Arabidopsis thaliana: one gene and its partner. The protein of the gene in region 1 interacts with the protein of each later gene in a pairwise test. Each region holds a gene or a part of one and is shown on either strand. Other genes may lie near its edges. The genes, in order: PRA1.C and MEMB12.

Evidence for each region.
Region 2: the proteins of PRA1.C (region 1) and MEMB12 interact in a protein complementation assay, tested with the Arabidopsis thaliana proteins (one large-scale study listed by BioGRID).

The regions. Positions count from the first base shown.
Region 1 is NC_003075.7:14,529,358-14,538,520, reverse strand, and holds PRA1.C (prenylated RAB acceptor 1.C), read left to right. Parts: upstream 1-4,447; 5' UTR 4,448-4,501; coding exon 4,502-5,074; 3' UTR 5,075-5,584; downstream 5,585-9,163. Other genes in the region: AT4G29680 (Alkaline-phosphatase-like family protein), read left to right, coding at 1-454; ACHT2 (atypical CYS HIS rich thioredoxin 2), read left to right, coding at 1,413-1,664, 1,966-2,145, 2,260-2,538; EMB2752 (embryo defective 2752), read left to right, coding at 3,350-3,541, 3,907-4,026; AT4G29654 (Protein kinase superfamily protein), read left to right, coding at 6,067-6,095, 6,307-6,378, 6,470-6,609, 6,685-6,920.
Region 2 is NC_003076.8:20,534,677-20,544,601, forward strand, and holds MEMB12 (membrin 12), read right to left. Parts: upstream 4,321-9,925; 5' UTR 4,180-4,320; intron 3,884-4,179; exon of another isoform or gene 3,855-3,883; 5' UTR 3,777-3,854; coding exon 3,550-3,776; intron 3,475-3,549; coding exon 3,204-3,474; intron 3,130-3,203; coding exon 2,968-3,129; 3' UTR 2,750-2,967; downstream 1-2,749. Other genes in the region: UBC33 (ubiquitin-conjugating enzyme 33), read right to left, coding at 97-188, 355-382, 478-517, 614-675, 770-833, 920-958, 1,316-1,370, 1,575-1,631; AT5G50443 (uncharacterized protein), read left to right, coding at 5,861-6,066, 6,163-6,208; AT5G50450 (HCP-like superfamily protein with MYND-type zinc finger), read right to left, coding at 8,843-9,532, 9,617-9,779, 9,865-9,925. UniProt on the Arabidopsis thaliana protein: Involved in transport of proteins from the cis/medial-Golgi to the trans-Golgi network.

The DNA of each region.
Region 1 (9,163 bases):
ACAGTACTACACTCCGTTGCTAGCGATTCAACCCCCTTCAGGGCACGATGCAGCGGATATAGTGGCTAAGATAAACGAAGGTTTGAGCTCGGGTAAAGTAGAGAATGGGAAGTACTTGAAGGTTTATCTCAAAGAGGATTTACCTAGCAGGCTGCATTATGTAGACAGTGACCGCATCCCGCCTATTATAGGACTAGTCGATGAGGGCTTCAAGGTGGAGCAGAAGAAAAGTAAAGCCAAGGAATGCGGTGGAGCTCACGGGTATGACAATGCCTTCTTTTCGATGAGAACTATATTCATCGGGCATGGTCCTATGTTCTCAAAAGGAAGGAAAGTGCCTTCTTTTGAGAATGTTCAGATATACAATGTGATCAGTTCGATTCTAGGACTTAAGGCAGCACCAAACAATGGATCTGATGAGTTTTCTTCAAGCATTCTCTTGCCACGCGTGTAGAAGAGTAGGGTAAGTTTATTCTTCTGTCAATAAAAGGCAGTCTAGACTCTTGAGACTTTGTTGTCAAAACATAAACGCGTTTGACCTCTTAGACGTTTTATGCGTTTTGATCTGATTGCTGTTTTTGTATGATTTCATCACGAAGTTGCACTAAAACGTATTGTAGTATTTCGGAGTATGAAACTTGTCTTGACATTTGATGCCAAGATTGGAAGCTTTGTACTTTCCTTCAAAGAAACAATGCTTTGAATTGGATACTCGATTCTTTGCCAATAATTGGAAACAATTTAGTGTATGTTGGAATTATCAACACTTATCACCGATGTGTCCTATTTTCTTGCAATGATTTTGTTGCATCACATGTTATGTTTTTTCTTTCATTACTTGCTTAGTTTATTGGAACAGAACAGATTCACTTAAATCCTTATAACAAGAACCTTCCTCTTTTAAAATCGTGATCGAAAGTAGAAAACTTATCAAACCTAAGTATATGCTAGACTTGATTGATCAAAAATACGAATCTAATTAAACCCAAATCGCCTTCAAATTTGATATTTTTCTTTAGATTTTTCTGTGTTTGTACATCAATTAAAGTTGGGATCCAAATAACAAATAAACATAGATGGCATTTAAGTAAATAAGTTTGTTATGTGTGTAAAGAAAAAAGCATTACTTATCTGCGTTCCGTGTTAAAACACGATTCTAACGGAGAAACAAAAACGCGTTTACGCTTTTTCAACTATCATATCGACAAAACGCCAAGTGGATGATGGCGGTTTAAACGCTATTTAATGTTGAAAAATCGCGTCTATGTATAATTGGAGAGACATGATGAGAGAAATATCACTGGAATCTGAACCAGACAGTTTCTGATCTTCTTCTCCTTAGAGGATCTCTCGGAGAAGATTCAAAACCAAGAACAATCTCAGTCTCTATCTCTCTCTCTGGGTGCATTTAGATGGCTGGAGTTGTGCGATTAACGACGACGTCGGTTCAAGCCATTCGTGTCTCCTCGTCCTTCAGCTCCTTTGCCACCGCTCTTAATCCTCTGCAACCTTGCTTACCTCCAAACTCGAATCTGAATTCCGACAAGAGATTGCGTCTTCTCTCATCTTCTCCTTCCTGCTCGTCTTCTCATTACCACCCATCTTCTGGTCTCGGAAGCCATCTCCCCCTTAGACGACCCAAGAGCCAAGTGGTTCGTGTCAAGGTACAAATGTCTTGCCTTTTAGCTGATTCTGTCCGTAAATCGTATACCCTTTTGGAAATTGAGACTCTTGAGCCCATTTCTGATCTCTTGTTATTCGATTTGGTCTTTCGCCTCTAGCTAGAGCCTAAACGTGAATTGTGACCTTAGCTCACTGTTATGTTCTCATTCCACTTCAGATGTTTAGAATTTAGTCTAAAGTTTCAGTTTTTTTGTTAGAGACGGTGATGCTATTGATTGCTTTGATTAGATGGTGATGCTTTCGGCCATAGTTTTATGTTTCTGATGTGGGTTTGTGGTGTAGGTAGATGAAAATGTAGCCGAGACAGAGCCACCGAAATGGTGGGAGAGGAATGCTCCAAACATGGTCGATATTCATTCTACTGAAGAGTTCTTGAGCGCTTTAAGCGGTGCGGGTGAAAGATTAGTTATTGTAGAGTTTTATGGAACTTGGTGTGCTTCTTGCAGAGCATTGTTCCCAAAGGTTAGTGTCATGTGACGTATCTATTCCATGAAACTATAAGAGTTTCATTTCTCTTTCGTGATTCTGTGAGAAATTTAGATGTTTTTTTTGTGTCTGTTTTGAAAATGTTTTCAGCTTTGCAAGACAGCGGTGGAACATCCCGATATAGTGTTCCTTAAAGTAAACTTTGATGAGAATAAACCGATGTGCAAGAGTTTGAACGTGAGAGTGCTTCCTTTTTTCCACTTTTACCGTGGAGCTGATGGTCAGCTTGAGTCATTCTCATGTTCTCTTGCTAAGGTAAAGAAGGCTATTTCGGTTTCACCTTTTCCGCAACTAGAGCTTGGCATAACGCTTCAAACAAAGAGAACTACTTCGTTGTTCTTTTTCGATAGGATCTATCAAATATTATAGACCCTTTGCTGATATTGATACCAAAACCGGTTGAATGCATTTGGTCTGTCTCTGATTACTATTTGACATCCTCTTCTTTTGAATATTTGTGTGTATTCAGTTTCAGAAGATAAAAGATGCAATCCAACTGCACAATACCGATCGTTGCAGCCTCGGTCCAGCCAAGGTACCTGAAGGCTTAACATTAGCCAAACCAGCTGCATCAAGTTGAAGTGCCAGATTTTTAGATATATTACTAAGGCAACAATCTTTGGTTGCTCAAGCAAATACTCAGCTTAAAATTCTGTATATCGTCATATTTTTGGGTGTAAAAGAATACTTCCTAAAGCCAGTTACGATTCTTCTGCTAATAGTCAATTGCAAATGTATTTTCACTACTGCTGTTCTTTATTGCTTTAAAGCAAGCTTATTGATGAAGTCATGTGAGGTTGCATAAGTCTCATTTCCATAGTTTTGGGGTAAATTTATAACTTTCTCAACTTACCGAACGATAGTGAAAAACAAATACATAGCACAATGGTTACAATAATCATGTGTTGTGATTACAATTTACAAATTTACAAGAATCATATCAAATAAGATTTTTTAAAAATTTACAAATGTGAGCTCAAGACTTTTAAGTGTTAAAGATAAGTTAAGGGCTGAAAACTAAAACATGTAGGAATAAGAGGACTGTTTGGTAAACGTTTTAACGTTTAAAGTCTTGCCTTTTGATATCAGATTTTTCTCAGGTTCCCACGCGCCGCCGCGAAACAGCTAGACGGAGAAATCCAAAATTCGGCGAAGGTTTGAGAAGAGAGAAATCTGAGAGATGCAAGGAGTGTGGAGCCAACTATGGAGGAAATATGCTGATTATAAGTACAATAAGTTCGAGAGATTTGCTGTTTGGGAAATGATCGAACCTTACCGTCGACCAAAAACCTTCACAACTTTGATTACTATCTATGTCGCCGCCTTTTACACCGGCGTCATCGGCGCTGCAGTTACAGAGCAGCTCTACAAGGTCAGCTTCGTATTGTTATCGATTCAGGCCCGGAATTGCTATTAGATTTGTGGGTTCTAATTTGATTCTCGTGATTGGTAAATGTTAGGGTTCGAAATGTGATAAAATTGGAAATGATTCATTGTTGATTACTAATAAAGGATTGTGTGATCATGAAAAGAACTATACTTGAATTGCTTTTCATGGGAATGGTTCATTAGGTCTTTCAATGAAGCTTTTACGTCTTGATTAGTATCTAATCTAATTCATTGTTCTGTAGTATATTGTATTCTTTGTCAATGTGTTTCTTACACTGTTTTGTGTTAGTATCAGTTATGTTTCTTGTTTGAGTGTGAACTTTATGTTACTCCACTCTCTGTAAACAGGAGAAGTTTTGGGAAGAGCACCCAGGGAAAACAGTGCCTCTGATGAAGCCAGTATTCTATCGAGGACCATGGAGAGTTTATCGTGGTGAGGCTATTGCTTCAGATGCTAGCAGCCAGTGAAGCTAACGATTAGGCTATCAGAGACTATGGTGAAGGATGTATCTCCGACTTTGATACGCAGATATAAATGGATTTATACTGGTTCACTAGTATATGTATATCAAAAAACTTCTTTTGGTTCAGTAGAATGTTTGTGTCTGTATTTCGAGTCTAATGACTCTCTTAAGAATCTATTTTCTAGAAATTACATGTAATGACAGTCTCGTTATAGTATAAGGATTTGATTTGAGAAGTTTAAGGGTATCCATTCATTCCTTTGAATATCTCTGCTTGTATCTGCCTCTCTTCTGGTGTCCTGAAATAAAACATTCCCAAATAAGATAGATGATCTAACTACCTCAGAAACATTGAGCCAACACAGATTTTTCTCTTCAAATTAGGTTGCTTCACATTCTTTAGTCCATATAGATTCCTCTGGGGACGTACTCTGTTTCTTTCCTTCCTTTTTTTTTTTGTTTGTTGCTTGTGAAAGAATATGACAACCTATGGCACTATACCATCCCAAGAAAATGCTTCGTCGAGCCTGAGCTTATTAGGACGAGCCAAAGAATTGATCTCGTTAGGTCTTAGCTCTCAAAGGCCATGGCTTGAACTTGTCCAATGTAGTGCCTTTAGCCTTCCTATCTCCTTTAGCGTTGCCACTGAACGAATCAAATCCAACATCATGATCTTTCGAACCAACTACATTGTTATCTTCATTGTTAGTATCTTCATCAGCATGCTTTGGCAACCCGTCCACCTTTCCGTCTTTGTTATCTTGATAGTAGCATGGCTATATGTCTACTCCCGTGATAATGAACCATGGGTGATATTTGGCAGTGTGATCGATGATTCTACTTTGGTGCTGGTTTTGTTGGTCCTCACGATCGGTATATTTCTACTAACAGATGTATCCCGCGGTATTGTGATCGGGGTTTTGGCTGGTTTGCCCGTTGTTCTGGTTCATGGCATGTGTAGGAGGAATACAGAGATGTTGTTCGTCTTGGAAGATGATGAAGAGAAAGTGGCAATGAACACATCATCTTCGTCACTTTCTTCTTCCTCTTAAGTCTTCACAATTGAGCACAAGATTTTCAGTTTTTCTTTCCTGAATTTGTCTACATAGTTCAAAACAACGCATATCCAGTGAAGGAACGTTAACATGCTGCAAAAAGAACTTGAGCTCTTTTGCGATCAAAATTCAGGATGTGGATATTGATGTACTGATGCATGTCAGAGACCTTGGTGACAAATAAAAGGCAATTTTGCGTGCTGATTAAAAACATTATCCTATGATAGAATTCCTATCTAATTATCTCCAACAAGCCAATACAATAACGAAGACAAGTGTGATCCTCTTCTCAGTTATCACTTATTACAAATTATCCAATCGATTCTCTCATTTTCAACAATTACGAATTGAAAGGTTGTAACTTTATATGAACAATGATCTAGTTTTTAATTTTATCACAACAATTATCAAGTTCAAATGCAATAGGGATTTGGCTATATATACCATTTTACTTTTTAGACACGACATGAAGAAGTAGTTAGACCATCTCCAACAAAGAGAACCCCAAAAAATTCTCAAATAAAAAAAATATTAATATTTTACTATAATTTGATTATACAATTAAATTTTTATTTTAGTAAAAAAATTAGATAATTGTAAAAGAGATAAGTGTTTAAAAGGAACTCTCTAAAATATCTGAGGTGGTTTAGACGTCTCGCTAATATCAACCGGCCTAGTCCCAGAGTGAATACAATATTTTTACATTTGGTAAATGTTAAGCAAAACCAACTAAGACTTATTCCTAATAAACATATTTAATTTATTTATTTCAAAGAGATAATTACATAGGTTTATATTGTCTATGAAGAATTATTTTGTTTATAATTTTTTTAATATGTTATAGTGTTCTAGAATTACCAAAATATAAAGTTTGTTAATCATGTTTAATTTAAAGCAAAAAAAGAAGATAAAACATAAGAAAAACAAAAGCAAACTACAAGCAAAATATATATAAATTTTCAAGATTTCTCCTTATTCCTCCAAACTCTATGCATTTTAAAATAGTTGGTTTGAGGATGTATTGTTTATTATTTCGTTATTATCATGCTTTATATATATTTTTGAACTTTTTGGATCAAAAATAACAAATCTAAGTATTTTGACAATAATTTTAAATACGATCATTTAATATCCTCAAATTTTACAAAAAAGCTGATCGAAAAAAGTAGTCCAATCGATATTACCGTTATTTTTCTCTTAAAAGTTTTTGTTTTTTTGTAGGGTTTCAGATTTTGGTTTGACCCGATCTACAGCAGAGGGCAACGAATCAATCATGACAAAGTCTATCCTCGGCACATATGGTTACATGGCACCTGAATACGCATGTATGCTTCTTCTCTAATCTGTTAATGTTTATTACATCGGATCACCAATGTTATTGTTATCTAACAGCTTAAACTTTGTAAGTGCATTGATTGGAAGGGTAACTACAAAAGCTGATGTCTACAGTTTTGGAGTTATTCTCATGGAGTTAGTCACAAGCAAGGAAGCTTTAGACAAGAAGCGATCAGATGCTGAACATCACATTCTCAGTTGGTTCAGGAGAGTCTGCATCGACAAAAACTCTTTTAGAGAAGCCATTGACGAAACAATTTAAGTGAATGAAGAGAACCGCAACATCATTGACGACGTAGCGAGACTAGCAATTCACTGCTGCGCCAAGGAGCTCACTCAGAGACCAGAGATGAAGTATGTTGTCTCTACACTTACCTCACTCTGTGACACTTGGAAGCCTAGTGAAATCGTAGACAACGACAGGGAGGACACAAGTGTATTAGAACTTGTAAAGAGATGGAAGGAGCAAGAGATGGAGGGAAGCAGCAGCGGTATCATTGTGGTTTGATGGAACTTCTATAGATATGTAGTGTGATGTAGAGTTTATGGTTCATTTGTATAGTAGAAGTGTAAGTTTTGAATATGATTAAGTTCAAAGTCTAACCTCTTCGTCATGATTTTTGTTTCAAATTTGTGGTTTCTTGGTCAATGTGAAGCAGGGATTCTTTATTCACTAGTATATATAGCTTTGTTATGCCTCAATTTTTATTTTGATTTCGCTTTATTCAAGGTTTTCGTGTCTCAATTTAGGGTATCGTTATTGAATTTCTTGGGCTTCAATTTAGGGTTTCTTTATTGAATCTTTGGGGTTTTACCCTCTCGCAAGTTAAGCTAATATATACATTATTCGAAAGATATCTTGAATGTAGAGCTTGATGTACCAATATGTAAAAAATCTTCTCTGTTTCATGTAACATTGGAAATTCCTAGATTTATATTGTTCTGACATTACATTTAGATTTGCTTTTAAGAAGTTATTGTATTGTGATTATTGGCATATGATTATAAACAACTAGTTATATAAATTTTGCAGAAGTGTTTTACTTTAGGATTAATTTGATTGTATACCTTATATTTTAGTATTAATTTGAAATCTACACTATAATATTACACTATTTGAAATATATTTTATATTGGTTTTAAAATGACATGTTTGTCCTTAATAAATAGAAACCATTAGAAATAAGACACTAAATAAATTGATTAATTAGTTATAACAAATTTTATTTTTAAACTAAACTGTTTATATTTAAGAAATTAGATATTCAAACTATTTTAGAAAATGTCAATTAATTTTATCCATTATATTTAATTATGGTAAAACTTCAATAAAAAATCTGTAGTTTTCAAATATCCATATATTGGGTATATTGTTCAAGATTTTAATAAAATTTGGTACATTTATAAAAATCTCCCCTTTTTTTTTATATACTAAAAGACCCAAAAAAGGTTTTATGGGCCCAAAATGTTATTTTGCCCTAGGGCCTTTGATAGTGTTGAGCCGGCCCTAACACTTAGCAGGAGTTTGCTCAATGGACCACGTTATTCTCTACTTCGATGTCTTTACCTCGTATGTAAGATTACAACATACAAACTAGATTGAGTGATTACATTATAAGATTCATGTGTGATTCAGGAACCATTTTTCTTTTTTTCTTGTTGAAATTAACTCATGAACCAGTTTTCAAAGCAAACAAAAAGTAGTTAGGATTACGTTGGTAGTTTAGTAGAAATTAGAGTGGTCAAAATCAATGAAATAATTTTACTTTAATACATTTTCATGGTATGAATAGTAAATATATAAAATAAGAAAATTATTCAAGATGCATAATGACTCGTGACCTTTTTTCCAAAGAAAATTTGTTTCATAGTAGTTAGGATTACTTTAGTAGCTTAGTAGAAACTAGAAAGGAATGTGCTAAAGAGTAGTAATTAAATAATAATTCAATAGTTGTAGTTCGTCACATTTTCATGGTATTGAATATAGTAAAAACAAAAATGTGGAAATTAAATAAATCTTTATACTTTTGTAATAAGACTTTTAGGAGTTCATGGAAGCTGTTACCATCTTCTGTGAAAAACAAATATATAATCCTTAAATTCAACCCTTCTAAATTCTTATTATCCAATTGCGCACTTAGTAGGAGTTTTGCCATTGGTCAGTGGACCACATTATTCTCTACTTCGATACGTTTGGAAGTGAGACTTTTATTTTACCAACTAATGGAGATTCATGCAAAGATATCTATTTTACTACTTTTTTTTGCTTCTGCAAAACCAAAAAAGGTTCGATAACTTTATTACGTCAGATTCTTATTTTAATTTTATCATAAACAGAAGACACAATAATATATGATTTAATAAGGTCCGTATCTAATGTAGGAAAAAAATCGGATAATCGTAGGTTTATAGAACAATATGTTATTCGTAATGACAAAAGCAATTCAGAATATTATTCGTTTGGAGCCAAGTATTGTGACAAACAAAAACAGTGACATTTCTAAGTGCAAAGTGAATTGACATCGTGAAAGATTATGCATTGACATTATTTAAAAGGTAATTAAGGTAACAATACATAAAACCAAAGAAGAAGCCCAAAACATAACATAATTATGATTAATACTATTTTATCATCATAAGTTTTAATCACCAGAATATGCATGTGTAATTCCCCCACTGGGTTAGTTTCCTTTATATTAGCATTTTTTATCTATCATCTTTAGTATACGCATCAGTAATCTATCATCAAGG
Region 2 (9,925 bases), on another chromosome or scaffold:
AAAAAGATGAGAAACATAACATGTAGAAGCTATCTTGTTCTCTAATCAACTTCTGAGATGTATCCTAAACATTTTTTTGGTGGGAATGGAACTTACCTTTTACAATTGAAAGCAAGAGATGACTTCGCCAACCGTTGTTTCTCGGCTACACTAGTGTTTACACTTCCCGTTGTGGGGCTGTTATCCATCTGTGGACCACAAGGTTGTAATGCGGAAAGAAATTTAATGAACGCAATGGAGAATAAAATATCACAGTAAAAACTAAAAAAGACATTGCCATGTTAAATCAGTAAAGATCTAATGACCAAGGATAAACTGAGAGGCTCTGCAAGATGAAACGTTCCATAAGCTTACCATAAATGAGAGAAGTCCTGTAAGTATGCTGCGTTCAGGGAAACAAATTGGTCAAATAAGGATCCATTACTCTGTTTATTTTAATAACTTGAACACAATTTGAATGTACATCAGATCTTATACCTTGACACTGACCACATTGGATTCCAGCTTTCTGGATGAACTGTACATGGAATGATGGAATGATAAAGCTAATTAGATAACAGACAAGTTCATTGAAATTAATAAACAAAGGAATGAAAATGAAGACTGTGCTTACAGTCACTCATAGACAAGCAGATTTTCTTTTGCGTCACAAATCGACCATTTGGTGTGGTCATTCTGCAGCAACAGTAGTTTAGTTGATTGGAAACCAGGAATAAAACATAGGAGAGTGATATTTTAAGTGAGAATTCTGAAGAACGAAAGAGCTTACGTGATTCCAGGTGGCTTGTAAGGATATTCTGGAGGGAACTTGATCTTTCCATAGTAAAATCCACCTATCAAAGAGAATCCGGATATCAGAATCATATACTACTTTGGAATGTAGAAGATCACATTTGAAATGTAAATCTAAGATTTGAACCTGCAAAAGGCGTTCCCTCACTGCCTTCCAACACATAATCTGTAGAATAAAACCCAATAGTTCAAACTCAATTGACTACATTTATATAAATAGTGCAGTAACACTAGTAGCGAGGATAAAAATACCCTAACTTGTAGCAGAATAGCATGACCATTCTCAGTTAGGTAATAGATAAGAAAAACTTTAGGTTTACTTTTCGGTTTCTATAAACAAAGCAAGTTTTCACCATTACATATTACTGGTAATCCTGAAAACATGATACCAATAGTATCTCTGTCACCATAGCAACACGCTATATGTACCTAAAGCCAGTATCCCCATAGCCAAACCTTCAATAGAATAACTAGAAAGCAGAAAATAAAGAAAAGGAACATTAAATAGCCAGATAAGACTTACGCCATTCAAGAATGTCATTTGGGGAAGGACGAGCAACAACATGCGAGACTGGTTCCTAGCAATCCAGAACAGAACATGTCAAAGATACTTCCAAAGTAACATTCATAAGAAAAAAACTTATCCTAGACCAAAAACCATGAAAACTAGCATAGAGCAAAGAAACCACATTTGATAAAAAAAAAAATGAAAATCGAATGGGTAGAATGATACCAGTGACAGACAAATCAAGGATGGGAACAGAATAAGAAGAAAATAATACCTTGCAAAGCGCTCTGTATTCTTTTTGAAGACGCTTTATACAAGCTTTTTCTGCCATCTAAATGCTTCAGGGAGTTCCAATAAACTGTAGTTCCTGTCAACCAAAACAACGAATTGTAAACTGTAGAAAATATAATCCAACCTTTAAGTATGAAATGAATGACAGTAACATAAACCAAATTAAGGTCATCTTCGATAAAGAAACCATCCTGCTTAAGTCATACATCTGGAAAACTGACATGAACAAGCATGTATAATCTACTCCATGACATTGCCGTATAGTTAAGCTATTACTACAATCTCAAGTCACATATAGAGAAGCAACACTTCTTAAAGTATCTGTTCTAAATACAAATTGACAAATTGATACACACACACAAAAAAAGATCACCGTTCAACAAAATTGCCTAAACCCATGAAATTGTGATGAAAACAAAAAAAAAAACTTAAAATTCCAATTAAACAAAACAAACATACACACAAATATTTTGCAATCAGATAAAATTCCAAAACATATCAAAGAATATTCCCTAAAGATCCCTATTGATTTTGAGTCAATCAAGTTAATGAAATCTAAGAAAATCAGAAGAAAGAAAGAAAATAATCGGCGTACCAGTTTGATCAAAGTTTCGTTATTGGATGACCAAGTATAAATCAAAAACACAGGGAAGTGAAATCGTGACAAGGTAAGAGCAGATCCAAGGAAAGAATTGTGAAAATCGGAATCGATCAGGAGCTGGAGCTAATTTGAGATTCTCTTTCTCCGTGTGTGTTTCTCGTTGATTGATGATCAAATCATTCGTTTCTCATATTTCGACGCGGTACAGAGACAAGGAGAGAGGAAAGAGAGAGTGTCGAAATATCAAAAGGAGATTGGTTTTCCTTTAACCGGATCAAAATTATTCCAGTTGAGTCGGTTCTGTATTTAATTATAATTATCCTATCCCGGTTCGGTATTTGTCATAATCAGACCTTTGGGGAATTGACTATTTTGGTCAAAAAAAAACATTGACCATTAATACAATGATGCTAAAGTCAACTGTTTCGAATCACTTTAAATATGAACTGTCTTGAAGCTCATGTTAGTCGCCGAAGCAATGACCCAAACAAATGTAGTAGCTTCTGTGTTAAACAACGATTGCAGTCTCGGAGAAGTTTTGAACAAGTTCTCTTACACTGCGAGCAATACATCATTCTCGGATATAGGAGGAACACATCAAAAGTTGGGGAAGAAAAGTTGGCATAAATCGAGAGCATACTAGACGCAAATGAAATGGAGAATATGTGTACTAGTGTTTTGAAAATGTCTTGTAAGAGGTATAAACAAAACAAAAAAACGTGTTACAAAACTCTCTCCATACAATCTATGGTAATGTAATTAAAGTTCTCTGGTTCTAGCGTGTCCATCTTATGAAGAGATACAATATGACAAGCGTTGCGATCATACCCGCATATTTAATCCAGGTATCAACACGATTACGCCTCTCAATGAGCCTCAATACAGAGTTAGAGAGCCCAACAGTGTTCAGAACATCCAAAGCCTTCCTCTGCGCACTCTGAGAATTCAAAAACCCAATGTTAAAAAACTGTTTTCTTCATTGACTTAAAGCTTAAGTTAGGGTTTGGTTACCTTCAAACGATCCCTTTGTTCAGCATATTTAGAGAGAATAGCAACTCCACTTTGAAACGAATCTTCAAGCATTCTCTTTGAATTCTTAACAGAGTTCATTCCTTGAGCCTCCTCATCAAATATTTGCAAAATGTGAGCTCCTTCTCCACTCCCTCTACCTAACAAATCCGCTCTCTCTTTAGCTTCCAACATCTTCCTCTGATTCCTCCACATGTACTTCTCTAGACTTTGGTTCAAATACTCAGCCTCTTCTCCTACTTGTTCACTCTTCCTACAGCAAAAAAAATCCAAATGCTCAAGAGTTTAACCACTACTTCAGCTATTTTGATGATCTAAACTTCCTCACCTTCTCCAAAGATCACGCTGGGATTTGACAGGGATCGAACGCCAGAGACCGTCCATATTGGAACAAAGAGATTGAACCTCGGTAATGTCTCGTTTCACGGAGGAGGCGAGGTCGGTAGGATCAGAGTCGAACCTCTCCAACTTCTCGATTCCATTCCGAGCTCTTAGTAGAATCCTTTTTGCACTACTATATACCTCAGACAACCCTCCCACTGTCCCAGACGCCATTATACAAACCACAAAGTGACCAAGAACACCGCAGAATCTTCTTCTCTTTGCTGAATTATATCAATATCAACTTCTAATCTGGAACATATATACAAAAACATATTTAAACCAGTTTACTCAAGAATTAATAGTAATCTACATGACATTGACCTATAATTTGGCTCTTAAGTAAAACTTGAATCAAAAGTTAAGCACCTTTCAACAAGATTTGCATAAAACTTAAAATCTAATCCAGACAAATCACTCGATCACGAACCAGCAATTCGATCAAAATCCTAGAAATTATGTTAAGAAAACATCTAATCGGCAATTCATTTGATTCGATCGACTGAAACCAAGAAATTCAACAAAATCGCATTGAGAGAAATCTAAGAAAAGCTTTAGAAAAAATTTATCCGTGTACCAGTTCAATGGAGGCTTGCTTGGGTTTGGAATTTGAATTTGTTACACAAAGCAATTCGTGACCAGATCCGAGGAAAGTTTGTGAAAATCGGATGAGAAATTCTGCGAGGGATTAAAAAAGAATAGCAAGGAGTTGGTTTACTTAAACCGGGAACAAATCCCAATTAAGCAGACGCGCTTGGCTGGTTCTGTTTACAATTCGGTTTTGTAAACAAACACAAGAAATGTAACAAATTAATCAAAGAAAAAAAATGTTCTAAAAATCACGATATTTTTTTTGTTTCTAGTAATCACAATGGTTTCTCCCTTTTCATAAATGGCAAATCTCCCATAAAACCATCTTTTGTATTTTCTATTTTTTCATGGTTATTTTCCTTTATAAAAAAAAAGGGATATCATATGTACATTGTATGGTTTTTAGTATTCTCATAAAATAAAATGTCTTTTGAATTTAAAAGAAAAGAAAAACACTAAATATGAGTTCAGATTTATGAGCTAATTCTAAAAACACTAAAAAATCCGGCCGGTAATTTGAGTTCAAAAACACTAAAAACACTAAATATGAGCTCAGAAAAGAAAAACAATTCGACCGGTAATTTGAACAAAAATAAATAAATCCGAACGATAAAAAATTAAGGAATTGCTAATTAGCCTCTACGGGATCATTGGGGGATTGACACTATCATGGTCAAAGATTGATCAAACAAGCTGTCCATATAATGGTTTGATTAACATAGTTATTACTCCAGCAAGATTTAGCTTAAATACGATTTTTAGGTGTGTATATTTTAAAGTTCTTTTGTTTACATCATAACGTTCTCATAAAAAGTGGATATAAAAAAAAAAGTATATATATATATATATATATATATATATATAAGTTTCACTTTTTCAAAATTGTGCCAGTTGTAAAAGAAACGCAGCCCATGCTAATGAAAAAGTTCCAAGGTATAGTAGTAGTAGCTTCACCTAAAACAATTTGACAAAGATATATTCTTTTTATTATTTATTAGTTTCCGATTTTAATGCAAATAATTATTGAAAATTTGTATTAGTTTACATTGTTAAAAATATGTTTGATTAGAAGAAGATCTTAAATTTTATAAAACTTTCTCTAGTACGTAAAACTCAAACTCTCAAATATATGAAAATTTTGTTTTGCAATTTTCCCATGCAAGTGACTCAAGTCCCAAATATTTGACTGTCTTCTTCTCGCTCGTCCAGTCGTCCCTATAAAGCTTGTTAGGAAAACAAAAATAAAAATGAATGAAAATAATGTTGATGCCTTAGCAATTAGCATAGAGACAAAACACAGCCTGTTAATGTTTTACCTGCAACTTTTGAGATCTCATGAAGTTGGATTTACTAATATTGGTAAACACATAAATAAACGTGTATACATGTGCTTGTATGAAAGTGAGGACACTCTCAACATCAGTGAATGTTCCATAAATTAGTTGATTAAGATAAAAAAAATATCTCAGCATCTGAAATAAATGATTCGGAGAAGAAAAATTAATTCACGTGATCAGATCTCAAAAAAAGTCGCAGGACAATACATACATATCTTACAAAGCCAACAAGCTTTACAAGTTGTCTTTCTCTATCTCCTTCTCTTTAAGACTTTAACTCATCATATTTCTACCTAAAAGTTTTCTCAAGACCTAAAAGAGAATTCACAAATGAAGAGATTCCATCCATCAAGATCGATCTCAATAGCTCTGTTTCTGGTTTTGTTAGCTTTCTTTAGCAGCAAGTTTCACATAGAGGGACATAGAGATTTGAGAGATTTGCAAATAAGCAAAGAGATGAAGCAGAAGTCTCTTGGAGGTGAAGGAGATAGCTTACGGAAAATCCCGAGGAGTCGCTATAGCCCCATACAGAACAAGTAAGTACACGATCAAATATTTTCCAATCTTTTCACACACAAAAAAAACTAAATTATTTGAGATTTTGACATCAAGATTGTGTATTTTTGTACCAGGAGAGGTCCAAGTAGGAAACATCAGATCACATCACATGAACCATAGATTTCATCTCTAGTTTTTTATTTAGATCTTCTGATTTTTTGTATTTTTTTTTTGTTGTAGAATAGTATTGCCTACACTTGTTTGTGAATGCAGCAATGTAGAGTTTGATACTGTTACTATTCTTAGAATGTTTTTTTCTTTTCTTACTGGAAAGTCTTACTCTGATACTGTTCTATTGAGTCAAGGCTCTTTGTTTAGACCTCTAAGGAGTGTTTATTGGATTTTGTAGATTTTGCAACATCTTGAAGCTTATATTTGTATTTATTACTTGACTTTGTATCTGTTGTTTCACCGCATTTGTTCTTCCTCTGTTTTGTTCGATTTTCATCATGTATCTGCTCGTCTTGATTTCAACTGATCAGATTCTGTTGTCATAACAACAACAAAGAAATGGTATTGTAGGGTTTCAAATGAATGAAGTTAATAACATATATATCACCTCTCACAAAATGCCCTCGATGTAAAAAGAAACATGCACAAGAAAACTTGAGAAATTTCTTGAAGGATCAAACTAAATTAGTTACCGAGTAAATAGATGCCGTGGAACATTAGAGTTGTAAGTTACTGACTTACTAGTATGAGAGAAGAATGACTTCCTTTGTTCAATAAGATCATTGGAGATAAACTAATATAACCATATCTGTATACAAACTTTCATGAGCCACTACTTCTAAAATCGCCTAAAATGGATATTTAAAAAGAGTTGTAACAAAATGAAAAACTCCAAATCACATCATGGAAGCCAACAGAAAACGGTTTTCCAATTGTAGAAGTGATTGAGAATAAACAAACAGTTTAGACAGACATAAGAGATACTGAGTTACTGATGATGAATTCAAAGATATTTCATGTCATCCTACTAAATTTGTTTAGGGGTTTCTCACTTTTGTTTCTTTGTTTTTACCTTATGTTCCAAACTTCAATCTTACAGAAGCTGCAACAAGGATTGAAGTCCAAGAAGTATGCTTTATGTTACTTTGATAAGGAATAAGAATTTAAGAGCTTCAAGCGTGGATAGTTTAGTGTTGTTGTTACTTCTTCTCATACTATCTATGAATTCAAAACATGAAACAAATTTACTGCAATGTTGGAAGCGATCGTTTGTTTGTCATATCAACCATGATGTATCTTATAAAACAGATAATGTGTGCGAGGAAAAAAAAAAAAAAAAAAAACACAGATAATGTGTGCAACTTAAAGTAGAAGTTATTGTGGACATTGTGTAATTATATTTGATACAAAAAGGCTAGAGAGAAAAATCAAAGGGTCTTAACGAGAAAGAAGAGATAGCTAGGTCCCAACAGGAACAAAAGAAACATTGTCTAGAGAGTAATGGTTTATAATTTTAGTTTTAAGTTCCAACCAGAAGAAGCTGGAGCAGCTTGGGGCAACACAGCTATGTCCCATCCATCTGTTGCTGGAGCCACATGAACTACAAAAAAGACACACAACTTACAAAAGCATTAACATCGAAATCAGACTCAAAAGCATTAAGGATCTTTGTCCAAACTTACCACTTGCAGGAGCAGGTGCAATTGGATGATTAGCTTCATCATCATCCAACATTCCTAGTTAGTGGTCGTCTCTTCAGGCTCCTTGTACTAGAAGAGGTTGTTCTATACAACGAACGTACCATATGATTATTGATCAATACGAATTCATGTAACCACATCATGATCAAACTCTCCAATATTGGAGCTTGAGAGATATTCCCCTTACAATGACGTCCACCACATGATGTCTTTCAGTCTTTGTGAGTTCTAAACCGCAACGATAACTCCAGCCATTTGCTAATTGCTACCGCTTCTTCTTTGATGTTTTAGCCATATTGTAATTTCGGTTCATGATTACCGAATTTCTGTGCTTCCTCTTATCGAGCCAAGAACCGAAATCAAACCAAATTGAACAAACTTTAGTTCGGTTCGGTCCAAAAGTCCAGGCTAGTTTCGCTTTTCATTGATTTCTCGTGCCATTCTCTAAAAGATTCTGAATTTTGGCAGCCTTGGCCTTGAGCCTCTTGTCTTATTGGTACTTTTTGGGTAAATAAACGAAAATACCAAATTTGTAGCTTTCTGTTGGAGTTAAATCTTAATATCGATTTTGAAGATTAATTGTTTTACGTCTGTATTATATATGCTTCTTGTGTACGAATTGAAATTACGTAATTTGATGGTGGAATACATGTTTTATTTTTGTTTGACAAAATTGATGGCTATTTGTCAACATACTTCCATCAAAAAATATCATGAAATAATTATATGCTTGGTTCTTGGAAATACTAAAAGTTTGTATTCGTATCTGTATCGTATAAATGAGTTAAAACCTTTTAAGATTTATTTCTATATTCAGCATTATACTTTTCTACAGATATTTATCTCATAAGATAATAAGTCACACCTTTGCGACCCCAGTTCATGGTATATGTAACGGCAAAAAACTATATTATTTAAAATAACATGCCAGTTTAGTATCAGAAGATTCAGAAACGCCATTAGCCAAAACTAATTAATTAAGAGAAGAAATTAACATTAAATTTTTTAAAACATAATTAAATAACCCAAAAAAAAAAAAACTCAACAGTCAAAGAAACTGTTGGCATTTCAGTCATTTCCTTGAAAAAAAGCGTTAGAGCCGTTACCGCTCACCATGATTATCATCAATCTCCACCGCCACCGCTTCACCGTCGTCGCCAATCTCCGCCGCTGCCGCAACCCACAAATCCAACGGCGTACATTCAACCTTATGCTTCGCTCTCCAATCCAACGCCTGACAACCACGCGAGCAATAATTAACCTTCCCACAAACAGAACATCGCCGAAACTCATGAGCCCGAGTCTCCGGCCTTCCACAACCACCATGCGAACACATCCTTAACCCTTCCGCTAAATCAACCCGACCCGAACTAAACCACTCTTTTAAAAACCGGTTAACCGGATGAATCTCCTGAACCGGAACCACGCTTAAATCAGTTAAGGTCTCGTTCTCGTCCCCAGATTTCAGAGAGAGGTAAGAGCGTAGAGAACACGCGAGCTCACGCGCGTTAGCTTGAATCAAAAGACGACGACCTTCGGAGACGTCACGAGGAACACCGTAACCGTCTTGAAGACAGTGACCAAGCTCTCGTAACGCATCGACGTGGCCTAAATAAGCAGAGCGTGCACAAAGAGCAACGCCGGCGCGTAGATTCTTATCGGTTTTTGAACCGCCGCTTCCGTTAAACTGAATCACCGATAACGAATAAAGCGCCGGCGCGTGTGATTTAATCGCCGCTTTAGCCATTAATGACGCGCCGCTCACTGGATTTTGTAGACAGTAAAATCGGATCTGAAGAAGAACAAAAACCAAAATCAGATTTCAGAAGAAACTCACGAAAAATCGAAACGGAGAATTTGAAGATTGCGAACGAACCATTCCGAGAGAGTACGAAGCGTCGATGTTTCCGGCATTAACACAGAGTTTGAGGAATTTATGAGAAGAATCTGACCATTTCTCCGCCGTGACGGCTAGGGTTTGAGTACCGGCTTTAGATAAAACCAGAGGATGTAATCCTAACCGATTCAATCTCTTGCATCTGTAACGACAAAAAGACTCCGTCAAGAAAAAGAAAATAGTTTGCTGAAAAACGAGAAGATGCATTCGCCGGAGCGGAGACTTACGTGGAGAGAACGGTGAGGAAATCGGAAGGAGAAGAAGCGGAGGTAGCGAGTTTGCGGAGGA